Callithrix jacchus: one gene and its partners. The main gene of each other region encodes a partner of the protein of the gene in region 3 in a complex. Links are inferred from orthologs where the notes say so. Each region holds a gene or a part of one and is shown on either strand. Other genes may lie near its edges.

The links.
Region 1: the proteins of WDR48 (region 3) and USP12 are in contact, whole or in part, in a crystal structure (PDB 5K1C), measured with the Homo sapiens proteins. The link is inferred for Callithrix jacchus from reciprocal best matches to the Homo sapiens genes WDR48 and USP12. Residues at the interface, in NP_065890.1 of Homo sapiens: Arg50, Trp77, Asp118, Tyr119, Lys121, Leu137, Ser170, Tyr172, Thr188, Asp211, Asn212, Lys214, Ser230, Gly254, Trp256, Arg272, Ile363, Ile364, Leu424, Lys425; in NP_872294.2 of Homo sapiens: Arg185, Leu187, Thr188, Cys189, Glu190, Thr191, Ser227, Lys230, Cys236, Arg237, Ser238, Lys239, Gln240, Glu241, His243.
Region 2: the proteins of WDR48 (region 3) and USP46 are in contact, whole or in part, in a crystal structure (PDB 6JLQ), measured with the Homo sapiens proteins. The link is inferred for Callithrix jacchus from reciprocal best matches to the Homo sapiens genes WDR48 and USP46. Residues at the interface, in NP_065890.1 of Homo sapiens: Arg50, Trp77, Asp118, Tyr119, Lys121, Leu137, Arg139, Ser170, Tyr172, Thr188, Asp211, Asn212, Lys214, Ser230, Gly254, Trp256, Arg272, Ile364, Leu424, Lys425, Gly521; in NP_073743.2 of Homo sapiens: Arg181, Leu183, Asn184, Cys185, Glu186, Thr187, Cys222, Ser223, Glu224, Lys226, Cys232, Cys233, Ser234, Lys235, Gln236, Glu237, Gln239.
Region 4: the proteins of WDR48 (region 3) and WDR20 are in contact, whole or in part, in a crystal structure (PDB 5K1C), measured with the Homo sapiens proteins. The link is inferred for Callithrix jacchus from reciprocal best matches to the Homo sapiens genes WDR48 and WDR20. Residues at the interface, in NP_065890.1 of Homo sapiens: Val191, Lys207, Gly208, Gly240, Gln241, Gln242, Arg243, Cys244, Ile245; in NP_653175.2 of Homo sapiens: Arg20, Ser364, Thr384, Glu385, Asp386, Glu524, Pro525, Leu526.

Annotation. Positions count from the first base shown.
Region 1 is NC_133506.1:146,334,754-146,338,926, reverse strand, and holds the start of USP12 (ubiquitin carboxyl-terminal hydrolase 12), read left to right. Parts: upstream 1-1,330; 5' UTR 1,331-1,557; coding exon 1,558-1,605; intron 1,606-4,173. UniProt on the Homo sapiens protein: Deubiquitinating enzyme that plays various roles in the regulation of the immune response and inflammation.
Region 2 is NC_133504.1:144,023,717-144,027,276, forward strand, and holds part of USP46 (ubiquitin carboxyl-terminal hydrolase 46), read left to right. Parts: coding exon 1-168; intron 169-3,304; coding exon 3,305-3,383; intron 3,384-3,560. UniProt on the Homo sapiens protein: Deubiquitinating enzyme that plays a role in behavior, possibly by regulating GABA action. May act by mediating the deubiquitination of GAD1/GAD67.
Region 3 is NC_133518.1:76,908,802-76,912,861, forward strand, and holds the start of WDR48 (WD repeat-containing protein 48), read left to right. Parts: upstream 1-1,237; 5' UTR 1,238-1,254; coding exon 1,255-1,302; intron 1,303-4,060. UniProt on the Homo sapiens protein: Regulator of deubiquitinating complexes, which acts as a strong activator of USP1, USP12 and USP46. Enhances the USP1-mediated deubiquitination of FANCD2; USP1 being almost inactive by itself.
Region 4 is NC_133509.1:137,066,356-137,070,490, forward strand, and holds the start of WDR20 (WD repeat-containing protein 20), read left to right. Parts: upstream 1-1,302; 5' UTR 1,303-1,329; coding exon 1,330-1,578; intron 1,579-4,135. UniProt on the Homo sapiens protein: Regulator of deubiquitinating complexes. Activates deubiquitinating activity of complexes containing USP12. Anchors at the base of the ubiquitin-contacting loop of USP12 and remotely modulates the catalytic center of the enzyme.

The DNA of each region.
Region 1 (4,173 bases), on a different chromosome or scaffold from region 3:
AAAGTACCCCATCACTTCAGCAATTAGAAAATATCACGGGTCGGGCGCGGTGGCTCAAGCCTGTAATCCCAGCACTTTGGGAGGCCGAAGCGGGCGGATCACGAGGTCAGGAGTTCATGACCAGCCTGACCAACATGGTGAAACCCCGTCTCTACTAAAAAAATACAAAAATTAGCCCGACGTGGTGCCACACGCCTGTAACCCCAGCTACTGGGGAGGGTAAGGCAGGAGAAACGCTTGAACCTGGGAGGCAGGGGTTGCGGTGAGCCAGGAACACGCCATTGCACTCCAGCCTGGGCGACAGAGACTGTGTCTCAAAAAAAAAGAGCTTTTTAACATCATAATTTATGAAGCTATTCCACTCACTTGAACTACTTTCTCAAATAGGAAAAAATAAAGCTGAGCTGCCAGACACGATGAACTGGGTGCAATGATGAATTTTATAAGAGGAGAAAAGAGGAACTACCCATGCCAGTAGCCAGCACTGCCTGAGGATTTCTCACAGGGCATTTTTCTTGCTTGCGGGCTTCTTGTTTCTGGTAATATCATCATCACTGCTGGCTTGAGATCTTCTCTATTCTGTAGCACAATGTGCAGATATTTAGAAACCTATTCTAAATTTATGGGCAACAGGCCGACAGGATTCGTTGCTCTCCCCACTTCCCCCATTACTTATCTTTCTTCTTAATTCAAAGAGTTAAACGTGTAATTTGTTCTTTGCCGCTTCATTTTTATTTGATTATTTTGTCTTTTTCTAAGTTGTGTTTGACTCCAGGAATTCATCCAATACACGGAAAAAGAAACCAAGTTCTTGGGACGCATACCTGGGTTATCTTAACTGTGCAGAGCATGTTTCCTCCCACTCCGCACGAAGTTACCCAGATCATCGCCTCCGTTTTCTGTTTAGGCAGCGGGAGATCACTATAGCCTCGCCCGCGGTGGGTGTCGCAGTCTGGCCCCTCCCGGGTTCTCCCAGGTCGCCGCAGCCGCCCCCGCGACTCCTCGCCGCCCCTCTTCCTACGAGGGGGCTCGGGCGCCCGGCACTAGGACCGCAGGGACGCAGGCAAAAGACAGTGCCCGCCCTCGGTCCCGCCCTCGGCCTCGCGCGGGGTGGGGCCGGGCAGGAGTTCCTTGGCTCGCGCTCCCGGGCCGCCGAGGGGGGCGCCGAGGGGTGGGCGGGGCTGCGCCGCCGGGCCGCGCTGCTGCCTGGCAGGCCGGGCATTAGGGCCTCAGCGGAGTCCGCTCCCCTGCGCGCTGGGCGGGGTGGGCGGCGGGCGGCTTCGCGGGCAGGCGCGGGCCCGGAGGCAGCGGCTGCGCCCTGCGCCGGGGCGGAGCCGGGGGCGGGCCGGCGGCCGGCAGGCGGGGGGCTGGGGCCCGAGGCCGGGAGTGCCTGAGCGCCGGCGGCGACGACGGCAGCGGCGGCCCAGCGGGCTCGGTGCGTGGGTCCGCTGCGGCTCGGGGTCCGCCCGCGGGCTGCAGTGCGAGCGGGCGGCCCGGCTCCCCTCATCCCCCGCCCGCCGCCGCCGCTGTGATTGGGTGGAAGATGGCGCTGGGCGGATGGAAATCCTAATGACAGTCTCCAAATTCGCCTCCATCTGTACCATGGTAGGTGCAGCGGGCGGGCGGCAGGGGCAGCCGGGACCTCTCGGGCGGGCGGACGGCGCTGGACCCGTTTCTCCCTGTGGCCGCTCGCGGGGCCTAGCGCGGGGGCGGGCGTGCGGGCGGCCCGGGTGGGGGCGGTCGGACGGCGCTCGGGCGGGGAGCGCGGGGGTGAGCGGCCCAGGCGTCCGGGGAGGGGGCGCCGCCTGGCGGGCCGGGGCTGCGCGAGGGTGGCGGTGAGGGGCCCACGGTGCGGGACGCGGCGAGGGGTGGGCACTGGCCTCCGGGAGTCCCCGACCGAACTGCTGGTGTCCGCGCCGGGCCAAGGGCCGAAGCGCGCCTGGCCTGTGGCGGGGCAGCGGGTGGGCGCGCAGGAGCCCGAGCGCGGCCCTGGGCCAGGGTCGCCGAGGAGGGGGCGAGGAGCTGCGGAGCCGCGAGGGCTCCATTTCCTCCTGGCCGCGCGCCGAGAGGGAGGTGTCCCCGGGCGGGGTGGGGGTCGGCGGGCAGGAAGGAAGGGTCTCTGCCGGGGCGGGCTGCGCTCTTTCCCGCCAGGGAGAGGACGGAAGTCAAGTGCAGATTTCCTCGCGCCGCTGGCCGGGCCGAGTCCCCGACCCCGCGCTGGCGGAAAGGGGCGTATGTAAAGATGGAAACTTTAAATAAGTGTTGTTGAAATTCTCTCCATTTTTCTCTTCGGAGAGGCACGAGCTCTCGTTTCCAGCCGTGTGTCCAGGTGGCAGTCTTGTCTGTGGGAATGCACGTTAATCTTTAAAAGCATTAGCTTTCCTGTCATTTGTTTACTTCGGCCCACCAGACACATCTGTATGTGGTGAAGCTACGTCTGTCTGTGTGCGGGGACCGCCTGCCAATGCGATGATATTTGTTTTCTTAGGGCGCTTAAATAGACTATAAAGGAAAAGCGCTAATCCTCGCTGGAAGTCCCGAATTAAGCAAAACGTGGGCGCGTTTAAAACTTGGTGTTTTGTGCTTGGCCAGAAGGACCACAGTTTTCCACATGATGAGACAAATTCGTTTCATTAGCGCCTCATGAGCTTATATGTAGGGATCATAATTTATGAGTCATCACCGAAAAAAGTTGTTCTTTGCAACGTGGACCTATTGGTTGTTATTAAAGACTTCTGAAAGCTTGTGTTTGATGCCTCACTGGCCCTATTTATGCAACCGATTTCATATAGGAGAGCCTCAAGCAATTTTCCATCTAAGGATGGTCCATTGTGTATATTTTTCTTTGAGGAGTGGTGAATCTGATCGGAAAGATGCTTTAAAAGCAGATTCTCTACTGCATGCTGAGGAACAGTACAAAAAATGGCTGAAATCAGCTGGACATAAAATCGACAATATTTAAGAAATCATATTGAAGACTCCATTTCCCAACTGGATGGTGGTTCTTTCTCAAAGTTTACGTTTTAGGAAGGCATTGGTATTAAATGGACTATTTTAAAGTGATTTTCAAGAATTGTTTGGGCTAATTATTTTCAGATACGCCAATTATTATCTTACTCAGTTTCAAAAGAATGCGATAATTAGGTCTTTTACAGTGATACCAGATTGCTGATCTACACACATTGTAATGATCATAGTTCACTGTCAAAGAATGGGATTTCAGGAGTGGTGTGATACTCTTATTCATTCACTCAGGTACTGTACATCTACGTTTAGCAGCTACTAGGTGCTAGAGGTGGGGCTGAGTGCTGGGGATGCTGTAGTGGTCAGGATAGCCCCGGCTTTCATGGTGTTTACGTTCTTCATGGACACAAACTGTATTTAAATTAATATATTAATAAATATGTGCTGTAATCACATTAGGACAGTGAGACACAGGGATTTGCCAGCGTCGCACACTTAGTAAGTGGGATTCTGATCTCCAAGATCAGAATCGGGAGCTCTTTCTAGGGCTTCCACCCAGATGCATTAATTACAGGTGGGGTGTGTGTATTGTTGGCAAATACTGAAAGTGCCTGGCCGAACGAGATTGTTCAAAAGGTACTATTAAAATTGGGTGTGTCTTTATTCGTATTTGAATACATTCTAATGTACCCTCAAATAGTGCTAAATATCTCAAAGTAGTTTGCAGTCTTATTCTTTAAAGAAAATGCTATCTGTCCTCTTGAGAATCACAAAATTGAAAAACAAAGATACCTCTTTAGCTTTGTAGGTGCCGTTTTGCTAGGCTTGGAATGCTTCCTCTGCCCTACCCCCCATCCTTGTATTGCGAGGATGTGTACCTCTTAAGCAGGGAGCTTTACTTGAATAATCCTACCCCTCTCCAACCCAACCCTCCATCCCCCTCATACAACTTCATGCCATTTTTGAAATGTCAGTAGCACCTATCATATTTAAACTGTGTAGTATATTTTTCTTTGAACTCTTACTCAGTTGTGAGGGCCTTGAAGGGGAAGAACTATCAGACTATCATTTACATTTACTTCTACAGTTTGATCTGGAGTACTAAGTTCTGCATTCAGTATAAAAGTGTTAAAAGTCCTTCCTATCTCCTGGAATGCCGGGTGAAGCAGGGATGATACTGGGTGTGTGTGTGGAATGGTGGAGAGAAGA
Region 2 (3,560 bases), on a different chromosome or scaffold from region 3:
GGCCCTACATCTAAAGCGGTTCAAGTACATGGAACAGTTGCACAGATACACCAAGCTGTCTTACCGTGTGGTCTTCCCTCTGGAGCTCCGGCTCTTCAACACCTCCAGTGATGCAGTGAACCTGGACCGCATGTATGACCTGGTTGCTGTGGTTGTTCACTGTGGCAGGTAAGGGCACGACCGGAAGCAGGTGCACAGGGTAAGCGTAAGGTTACCCTTGGCTGAAATATATCCAGCTGCACCTTTCCTGTGCCATGGCACTAAGCGTTTTTGGGATCTCTTCCAAACTCTTACTAATCATCTCAATAAATACATAAACATGCCTACAGACACATTTAAAAAATAGCATTCCAACAGTGATCATCTAAATGTTCTGTTATGAGAGAAATAATAAATCTTCATTGCATAGAAATAATGGTTCTGAGGAATTTGAAATAACATGGAGAAACAAATGTCTATGCTATGATTTTAATTTTTAAAAAGCCAAGTTAGATTTACAGTATGATCTCAAAAGCATTTTAAGATGTGTAAATAAAGACTAGAAGCAATGGATCAAATTTAATAATCTTTGGCACTTGAGTGATTAAGAACATATTCTTAAAAAATATTCTTTGTTATTTTTGGTCTTTCCCCAAATTCTAAAATAAGTATATAATCAGAAAAAAGAAAGTAAGAGAGAGAAGGCCTCTAGATACGGAGAGGCAAAGCATTTTGCCGAAATTTGAGAAGATTTTTTTATTCCGTAATTTGGTATAAATGCAGAAGAATATACTGAAAATTCACCTGTTTGTTATTCTTTGCTCAGCTGGGACAGCTTTATGTGCTACCTTGCGGGTAGGCACAGCTTTCCTCCTGCCCTCCTAGGTTTTAGATTGGGGCCTATCACAGAGAAAGAGTCTTTTTCTCCATCTGCTGAGATGGATTATAGTGAACACATTACCAGAAGACTACCATTGCCACGTGGAGGGATGGATTAATTTGTTTTTTAATTGTGTGCTAGGGTGGATGTATCCGAAACTGTAACTTCATATCTGAAGCACCCCATATTTTGTCCTGTGTGTATTGACTTTAAGTCACTGGATATTTTCTTGTATTCTCAGTAAAATTGTATGTATGGGCTAGTTGTATACCTGTGTTGTGGTGTTCTTCCCTGAAGAACAGGTGTTACTCTTTTGAAGAGCACAGGTTTCCAGATCACTGGAACCTAGCCTTGAGCGCTGGGTGAGGCCTCACATTGGTGCAGGGTTGGAGAAGGTCTTAGGGCAGGCAGAGCCTGGGACCTGGTAGGCATTGCAGCTAAAGTGGGTGGCAGGGGTGGTGTGGATGGGAGGGCCTGCTGGGAAAGCTAGGCGAAGGAGAAACACAGGTGCCCCTTGCACGGGGGGCTCTGTGAGTATCTGATTTGAATCCTTGGGAGGACTGGCAGAGACCCATGTGAGGGAACTGAATGACCAGTGGGAGGTTGGGTTCTCTAAGGTCAGTTTCCGTAATGTGAGCACAAGGTAAGAAAGGCCCTGGCAGCAAAGATCAGTTGGTGCCAAATCAGGCATGCTACTAACTAGGATTCTTCAAACTCCTCCCAGCAGAAGTAGGGCCGTTCTCCTATGTGGAGTGGGGCTGGCCTGTGCATGGAGATTGGGTGGCTTCCAGGTGGCACTGGAAAGCTTTGAGGTTAGGGAGCTGGGCCTGCCTTACCTTCCATGCTCCTGGCCCATAGTTGCAGCAAGTGCACAACCTTGTGCATTGATTTCTGCTGCAGGTTTTTTTTTAAGCTCATGTTTTCTGGGTTCCATGCCAGGATCTGAAGGTAGAGTAACGAAAAGACACACAGCACAGGGGCCCTGCCATCACAAAGCTTACAATCTATCTGGAAATACTGATAATGAACAAAAAAAACCACACCACTCTATTATCACCAAAAATAAACCACTGCAAGATACTTTATGATTTTGATCAGTGCTATCAGGAATAAACAGGGAGATGAGTGAGTGGTGGGAGATACCTCTTCAGGTGAAGTGGTCAGCAGAGATTTATCTGGGGAGGTAACATCTGAGCTGAGGCATAAAAAGAATGCAGTTGGGGAAGGATCATCTCTGGCAGAGTTTACAGCAATGCAAAGGCCCACAATGTGAAGGGGGCATGTGTGAGAGGAGCCTGAGGAGCTGGAGCTCAGAGGAAAGGGAGACGTAGCTGGAGGAGGCTGGAGAAAGAGCAGAAACAGATCATTGGCATCATCTTGTGCTGAAAGAGGGTAAACAAAAGGGGAGGTTTTCTCAACTTTAACAGTGCATTAAAAAACAGTTCTAGGTTTAGGATTAAAATCCCCTTACTCGTGCAAATCTAACCTAACTACATAGTAACTGTTGCTTAGTTGTTCTTTCTGCTTTTTTCCATATAGCATACTGTATGGCTTTTTATTTTAATACTTGTTACTAAGCATCTTGGTTTGTTGATATTTTTCTAAAACAGATCATACAACTCCTTAAAATTCCCTTATCTTCCTGGCTTGCTCGAAGCAAAGCCTAAAATCTTACCTGCGATTTCTCCTGCACCTGCCCCTCAGTCCGCTCTGGTCTTCCTCTCCCCGCTCACTCTGCTGCTCTGGCCTCCTTTGGCCTCTCTGCTGTTTGTGAACACACCAAGTGTTACTCGCCTGCCCCAGGCCTTTCCACTTGTTATTCCCTATTTCTGAAACTTCCATCCAGAGCCGCATGGCTTCCCCCTACCCCCTGACCCCCTACCCCTACCCCTACTCCTATCCCTGCCATTTCCTTCAGGGAAATTTTCTTGTGCCCACATTATCCAAGTGGCCTCCCTTCACCGTCTATCAAATAACACCTCCTGCCATCGCTCAGATCCCATTACTCTGCTTCATCCTTCTCCATGACACTTCTCACCACTTGACCTAGATTTATAAGCTTAGTTTGTGTATTGCCAATCTAGCTCCTATCCCAAGTCCCAAATAAGTGAGGTCTTTGTTTTGTTCACTGCTTCTTCTCCTGACAGCTAGAATAGGGCCCAACACAGAGTAGGTAGAGAGTAATGTTTTGTTAATATTTGCTGAATCTGAGTGTCTGTTTTTCCTGCTGGATTATGAGTCCTTAGAAGATACCTCTCCTGCGCACTTTTGTATTCCCCTACATCCAGCATGGTGTTGTGGACATAGACATGGGCTCTATGCCAAGATCTTTGTCCTGATAACTTAGTTTTCCCCCCAGAGAATCACTGCTTGTAAAGAGCTCAGTAGTGTTTTATAAAGAGATCAATGTTAACATGCTAACTTCTTTTATTTGTTCTTTTCCAGTGGTCCTAATCGTGGGCATTATATCACTATTGTGAAAAGTCACGGCTTCTGGCTTTTGTTTGATGATGACATTGTAGAGGTTGGTTTGCAGATTATTCTCCAGTAGTCACAGGGCATCAATAGTATTTCGGGGAATGTGTATATATAGACGTTTTTTAAAGTAGGCCTGTTTCCTCATAATGTAACTTGAAGACCACTTACATTTCTATTCAAAACCAAATTCTGCTGATCCCCATGCTCTGTGGAAAGGGAGAAG
Region 3 (4,060 bases):
GTTTATTTTCTTCAAACTTGTCTTTGAAATTCGGGGGTAGTTTACAATTACTTATCTTAACTGGAACTAGCTATATTTCAAGTGCTCAAGAGCCACAGATGACTAGCGGATACCACATCATATGCTATATCCCACAGTGTAGTTCTACAGGATTCACTTTCAGTAGAGAGGATCTCATCACCCTCAGCTCCTATAATTATTGTCAGGAAAACCACCTGAAGTCAAACTTTCACCCAGACGGGCCTAACTATTCCAGTACAAGAGATGATTTACACCAGACCCGGGTTTTCAGTTCAGGATTTGGAACTGAGTTGTCTCTGGGAACGATTTTAGCTGGTGTTACCCTTTTCACCTTCCTGTAACATTTTTTTTTTTTTTTTGGAAATTTTAAGTTCAGGGGTACAAGTGCAGGTTTATTATGTAGGTAAACTTGTGTCATGGGGGTTTGTTGTGCAGACTATTTCGTCACCCAGGTATTAAGCCTAGTACCCAATAGCTATTATTCCAGATCCCACCCTCCACCCTCCGAAAGGCCCGTGAGTGTTGTTCCCCTCTTTGCGTCCATGTGTTCTCATCATTTAGTTCCCACTTATAAGTGAGAACGTGTGGTATTCGGTTTTCTGTTCCTTTGTTAGTTTGCTTAAGGATAATAGCCTCCAACTCCATCATGTCCTTGCAAAGGACATGATCATGTTCTTTTTTATGGCTGCAGCTTTTAATCTTTTAATTTAAATGGATTCTTTGCTCCTCCTGAAGATGGAGGCCATCTCCTTTGCAAGGGCTTCTATTTCTCCCTCTTTGATACCAAGATACAATTTCCGCATTTTTAGGTACTTCATAGTAAATCAGTTGGTTCCCCTGCCTGCCGAGGAAAGGTCAGGGGGCTTGTGTAGCGCCACGTCCAGCACTGTTAATTCTTTCAGCGCTTTCGCTTAGCTTGGGCCTCTGGGGGAGCACTCGGAAAACAGCACACGCCAGGGTCTGGGACCACACAGAACCGGATTCGGATTTGCTCCCTCAGCCCTGAAAAGTGGCTCTCTCCCCATCAGCATTATTTGCACAACGGTTTTGTTTTTGGGTGCATCTACCTCACCGCACGCCGGCCATAGAGCAACAAACAGCAAGCACCTAGGGAACACTCGCACCTTCTACTCCTTCAGCCCCGCCACGAACCCTTGGCCAAAGGGAAGGGGGCAGGACATCCGCCCGGTCTCAGCCACCTCCGGAAGTGACGTCTGAGTGTCAACATGCAAGATGGCGGCCCATCACCGGCAGAACACGGCAGGGCGGAGGAAAGTGCAGGTATGGAAGCCTGGTTCCTCGGCCTTCCGGACGAGGCAGGCAGCTCCGGGCCCACTCGACCTAGCAGGTGCCCGGGGCCGCGGCTGGCTGGGGTAGCGGCATGGGGCGAACGGGGCGGGGCGCGGCCGGCCGCGAGGGGTGGGGCCGCGGCGCTAACGGCTCGAGGAAGGGGCGGGGGTCGGCCTACTTGGCCTGGGGGCCCAGGCCCGGGACCCTCGCGGGTGGCAATCTGAGCCCTATATTGCTGGTCGCCGCTCTTCTGTGGGAATAGACTTGCGGAGTCGGGATAGGCTCGTTCCCCGCCCACCTGCCTCCCCCTTCCCCTGCGTTTCTCCGAAGCGCTCTGCCCGCGCTGCGTCCTACCGGAGGCCTCCAGGGGTTTCCCGGGGGGTGGGCGTTGGAGGAGTGAGTGGCCTGTGCGGGGGCGTGGCGAGGTGGCGGAGCGCCAACGGCCCTGCGGGGTTTCTGCAGTGGATTCCGCACCTGGGAGCCCCCAGCCCTCGCTTATGTTGGGCTTGTCCCCTGGGTAGGTGGGAATGACAGAATGTGCATGGGGAAATTATAATTTTAATTGTTTTGGAATTTGGAATTTAAGTTCGGCTTCATTTCTTCATCTTCAGTGTGCATCGCTGAATCTTTATTGTTTGTATAATTTATTGTACATGTGGTAAAGAGTTGTCTAATCCTACCGTGTGTGCCTTGTGCCTTATGCCTTTGTGAATTCACTTTTGTTTGGTGGTACGCTGAAGAGTTATTGCCACTTAGTGTTTTCAGTGATGCAGGGAATAGAAGCCCTATTACAGGTGTTTTCCTGCAGGTGTATTGTACGTAGTAGTGGCAGTTTGGCACTTAGATTGCCCCCTCCTCCCCCGTGTAGGAATAAGTAACACCTAGGCTTTTTTTTTTTTTTTTTTAATAAAACAGCATTATTTGGAGTTCTGCAGATTGAAATCAAGTGTCAGTTGAAGGTAGTCAGATAAAGGGGTCCTTCAGTAAGATAATCCCAGCAGAAAGTGGGAGGCCATAAAGTCTTCTGAGTAGTTCACATCTTGGGTTTTATTCATCGCACTGATCAGTGCAGTCTCTTAAGCACTCACTAGATGTTTGTTGAATTGAGTGAAATTAATAAGAGTCTAAACTCACCCCTGTTAGGTGAGGTTTTCAGTGCATTAGTGATGGAATTTAAGTATCACCAGCATCCAGGGCAGGTAGTGAGAATGTCTCCTAGGGACTGAAATATAACTCAAAATTGTGATCTGATTGTATGATAGACTCTGTGGTGATATACTCCTTAGGGGAGTAAGGGTAGTTAATCAGGCCTGTCAGTTTATTGCTTTAAGACTTAAAAGTCCTATGACTGCAGTGTTCTCCCTGCTTCCTCTCTCCCAGGCCTGCCCACTCCCAAAATATGTGCAATAAAGTATATATATTTTAAAAAGACTTACAAGGCAATTGTACTAGTATGGACTGGGGTGAATGTAAATTAACTGCAGCAGGTTTGGAAAAACCGTGTTTCAATAGGCCGAATGTGAGCCAGTGCACACAGAATGAGGCAGGTGATAGATAAGTCTGCCTTTCAGTGGTCAGAGTACAAAATTAGAGTTTGGTGTTCTGCACTTAGAACCTTGCTCTTCATAGGTAGCAATCAGATTGGTGAACTGACTTGAAATTATTTCCTATGAAGAATTTTTGAAAGGGCTGTCTAAGATTAACCTGCTGAAGAGAAGATTCAGCAGGAGCGTTTGGAATTTGTCCCCAAGGTATAGAAGCAGCCTGAGAAGCCACAGGGATTGATTTCATTGGAAACATCATTGTCTGTGAGTGTTTTTTAAACCAGTGCGTGTTCATTGTAAACAGCCAACAAACAAAAGTATAAATTACTTTTATACTTGGAGTTGCCCTCCATGCTTCCAAGAAGGCTACTGTGGGCAATGTCGTGTTTGAATCTTAGACCAGAGTTAAACAGCCTGAGCATTCTTGACATTTTCGTCTGGATAGTTCTTCGTTGTGTCTGAGGGAGGGAGCTGTCCTGCAACTCACATTGTTTAGGATCATCCCTTGGTTCTACCAACTAGATGTAGTAGCATCTCCCCAGTTGTGACAACTAAAAATGTCTCCAGACAAATGTTCCCTCAAGGGCAAAACTGCATCTGGTTGAGAACCACTGTTCTGTACCTCTTCCTGTTTGTGTACCTGACTTAATGGGATTTTTTTTTTTTTTTTTTTTTTTTTTTTGCTATAAATGGAGCCATAGTATTCACTGTTTTGTGTCTTCCTTTGTCAAATTTATAAATAAACATCCCCTTTGGCCCAGAATTCCTTATCTAAAAATATATTCTACAAAATTGCATATGCATATATCTATCCCTGCTTATGCAAGGGTGTTGTGTGAAGCCATTATTGAATTGCTATAAAGAAATACCTCAGACTGGGTAATTTATAAAGAAAAGAGGCACAATTGGCTCACAGTTCTGCAGGCTTTACAATAAGTATGGTGCTGGATCTGCTCATCTTCCAGGGAGGCCTCAGAGAGAGTGAGTCTAAAAAGCAAGTCAGCATGGCCTGATCCCATTTCCACAAAGGGAAATGCATTTTAAACGTCTGAAAGGGTAATAGCAGTGATTATCCCTTTGGGAATAGATTGTATGATTATAGATAAGACAGGACATGGGATATCTTTTAGTGTGAAATATACACAGACCTTGGTATTTTTGAACTTTTTACCACATTATTTACTCTTACTCATTTTGGAAAAGGC
Region 4 (4,135 bases), on a different chromosome or scaffold from region 3:
CACAGTTTCTATTGGTGTCTACTTGCTTTGTGGTACAGAAAATGTTTATGATTTAGACTTCTCCTACTTTGGAAATTGCTCCCGTTCGCTTCCTTTGTGACCCTCCAGATCTAATCTGAACCTTCAGGAATAGTTCAATTTCAGTGTTACAAATGTTGGTTCCCCCCCCCCCCCCACCCTGGAATCCTATCAGAATGTTTGTCACTTTAGAAACTTTCTTATTCTGGTGCAACACGCCAAGAAACCCAGGTATAAAATAGTGACTGTTTCATCTTGCGTTGGCACGCGTGCCCGTCCTTACAAATCTAGACCCCGTGCATTACATGCATACCACTATCCCTACGGATCTCCTAGTAAACAGTCTTACAGACTCCGCTTGAGGCTTCTGAAAAAGAATCAATTACCTTAAATGTTATTAAGAGCTGTTCATAAACCACTGAGCAGCAGACGTGAATCCTGCACAGACGCAGTCCGCAGTTCCCAAAGCGCTTCCCGCCCCGCCCCCCGTCTAGGAACAGCCGGTGAGGACAAACCTTCGCTAAGAAGCGGAGGCCGCCAGTGCTCACCACGCAGGAAAAGGACATCTGGCTTGAGAATACCCGTGCGCTGCCACGTTCTTCTCTCTCCCCACCCCGCCTAAAAAACACACACACAGTGAAGCGTAAATCTTGAGTCCTTCGGTACCTTCTCAGAAACGGCGGGGAGGAGGCTTCACAGGGGCTTCCGGACAGGGGATCCAGACGGTCGCGCGAGTCCTCGAGCCCTCTAGGCGGGACAGTCCCCGTCCCGAAGGGAGGGCGCAGGAGGGCTGGAGCCGTCCCAGCTCCCGGCAGGGGACCCCGCGTGCTGGCCCCGAAGCAGTGGCAGTCGGGGTGGCGCTCTTCTCTTCGGGGTCCCGGTACCCCTCAGGGCAGGGCGGGAGACAGCTGAGGAGGCGCCCTCAAGTTCGCCTCAAGCTCCGGACGCAAGGCCCGCCGCGGCTTCCCCGGTCCGGCTTTCCGTCTGCCCGGGCGGATGCGGAATGAGCAACCTGAGCCCCCAAGCGGGAGCCGGCTTCACCTGGGAAGCAGCCCAGCAGCCCGGAAGCCACGCCCAAGGGAGGAGCTTGCGGACGCCCCGCCGCGTGGAGCGCGCCAGGTGAGCACGCCTGCGCAGTCGGGCCGTAAACAAGCCCGCCCCTTCTCTTCGGCCCGCCTTCGTGGGGCTGGCCCGCGGGTGGGAGGGGCGAGAAGGAAGAGGCGGGGTGGGGGAAGAGCGAGCAGCAGGAACGGCGCCTGCGCGGTGGGCGTGATCCGGGCACTTAGGGCAGGATGAACGCTGCTTTCCAAGATGGCGACGGAGGGAGGAGGGAAGGAGATGAACGAGATTAAGACCCAATTCACTACCCGGGAAGGTCTCTACAAGCTGCTGCCGCACTCGGAGTACAGCCGGCCCAACCGGGTGCCCTTCAACTCGCAGGGATCCAACCCTGTCCGCGTCTCCTTCGTAAACCTCAACGACCAGTCTGGCAACGGCGACCGCCTCTGCTTCAATGTGGGCCGGGAGCTCTACTTCTATATCTACAAGGGGGTCCGCAAGGTACCGACCCGGGCGTCACCGGGGCCCGCCAGCGGCGTGGGCAGAGGCCGGGAGCAGGGCGGTGACAGCGGGGCCAGGGTGACCGAGATGGGTGGCCGTCGCTCTTACTTTTGAGTGGGCCGGTAACTCCACTGGGGTGCTCCTGAGGAGAGGGGATTCAGGAGTGAGGAGGGTGGTGGCGGTGGCGTTTCGAAGGAGTGGGGGCTGTGGAAAGGGACCGTGGGGCGCGGGGTTCCGCCTGGGAGTCTCCCGGAGGAGCCGGCTGCGTCCCCTCCAGCCTGGTCCGTCAGGCTCTGACATGGCCAGGGAGCGGGCCTGCGAGTCCCCGGAAGAGGTGGGGTGGCCGTCTTGTCTGCTTCGATTGTCTCGCCTCCCTGGAGGGTTGGAAGTCTTTCCCTGGGTTAGAGAACAGGGGCGCAAGACGGCTTAGCAGGATCTCCGCAAGGCGGAACCCGGGCCGGGGAGCGGAGGACCGAGACTAGGTCAGAAAGAACCTGCTCGGCACGCAGGGCTACTCCACCTGCTGCCGCACTGACACTTCCTAGGAGCTTCTTTTGGTATTAACACTTCTATTTCCGAAAACATCCGCGGGAGGACGGCTGTCACTGTCTCCTCCGAGGGGACCTTCTCAAAGATTGTTAAGAAGGGTCATCTTGTCTGTCCCTGTAGTATGAGAAGGGCTGAGTACCACAGTTGTTGCAATAATGTGTCCAGGTTCAGAGGGGTGGTGTGTGAGTGCCCAGATTAATCTTGTCCAACAAGTCAGACTGTGTCCCAAGTAGGGAGGAATATGCCTTAAAAGCTACTTTAAAGGGGCCATCCTTCTTGGCGGGTGAGGTACCAGTAATTCTGTGAAGCCTGTAAGCATCCTTTAAAAGTATCTCTTTAAAAGCAGCAATTTATTAGAGCTTTTCTTTCGTTGACTATGTAACTATGTTTTCACTGAGAATTGCTATTTTTGAGATTGTAGTCTTTGACTTGATTTCATGGAAGAGTGAGGAAATTAATGCATCCCACACCACCTCCAAATGGGACAAGGTGATAAAAGATTAATTCGTAAATGTATGTTAGCATGAAAATAAATTGTACATAGCGAAGAGTGAACATTCCCTAGAATTTAATATAGCCAGATCCAGTACAGGATTTTTGCTTGTTAAAAGAGCTGGGGAAATGACAGTGGTATCTAAATGTAGCAAGTTGTTTCTTTCAGGGTGAATCTTTTAAGTGTTTAGGGTATGCTGTTGGAAGTTATTGAAGGTAAATCGCTTGACCTTTTTTTTTTTTTTTTTTCTCTTTTGGTATTGCAAAAGCTTGAAGTTGCCTTCAGTCTACGAGCTGAAGTTTTACTCCTACTCCCAACATTGTCACTTGTTGGGTGACCTTGGATAACTTATTTAACTTATATTTTCACCTCTTTGAAAAGGGAATGTTACAGTGCATATGTTGTAATTAATAATATAATAACTCTGGCCGGGTGTGGCTCATGCCTGTAATCCCAGCACTTTGGGAGGCCAAGGCAGAGGGATCATCTGATGTCGGGAGTTCGAGACCAGCCTGACCAACGTGGAAAAACCCCATCTCTACTAAAAATACAAAATTAGCCGGGCGTGGTGGTGCATGCCTGTAATCCTAGCTGCTTGGGAGGCTGAGGCAGGAGAATCACTAGAACTCGGAAGGCAGAGGTTGCAGTGAGCTGAGATTGCACCATTGCGCTCTATCCTGGGCAACAAGAGTGAAACTCTGTCTCAAAAAATAATAATAATATAGTAACTGTAATGAACACTCAGTATATGTAAAATATAGTTAAATACTAAGAGTAACTGTCAAATAAGAAGCTGCCATCTTGACGTTGATATTCAGAGTGAAAGGATCAATTTTGTCTCTGGAAATTAAGTTAGAATTTTAAGTTTTAAAAATACAGTGTGCCTAAAAACTAAATTAACTAGCAATTATTAATGCAGGCATTACTTTAAAAAAAAGTTTTCTGGCTGGGTGCGGTGGTTCACGCCTGTAATCCCAGCACTTTGGGAGGTCAAGGCAGATGGATCATCTGAGGTCAGGAGTTCAAGACCAGCCTGGCCAACATGGTGAAACCCCGTCTCTACTGAAAATGCAAAACTTAGCCAGGCATGATGGCGTGTGCCTGTAATCCCAGCTACTCAGGAGGCTGAGGCAGGAGATACCTCTTGAACCCGGGAGGCGGAGGTTGTCGTGAGCTGAGATTGTGCCACTTCACTGCAGCCTGGGTGACAGAGCTAGACTCCATCCCACCCTCAACAAGTTTTTTTTTTTTCTTTCAAAGGTTATTACCTTAGAAGCATCCTAGTGGCAAACCTTATCTGGATCTGGTAGCCCTGGTTTACCTCATAAAGACAGGTTTCTTGCCTGGGAGTATCATTGTAATAGTGTTCTCTTTTAGTGGAACGCTATTCACGGAAGGATAGAAGTAGGCAAGGTTTTTAAAGCTATATCAAAAAATTATTTTAAATAAGATAAATCTGAAATACGTAAATTGCCCTTACCTGCACAATTCGAGTGTTTTAACGTGTTTTGGGGG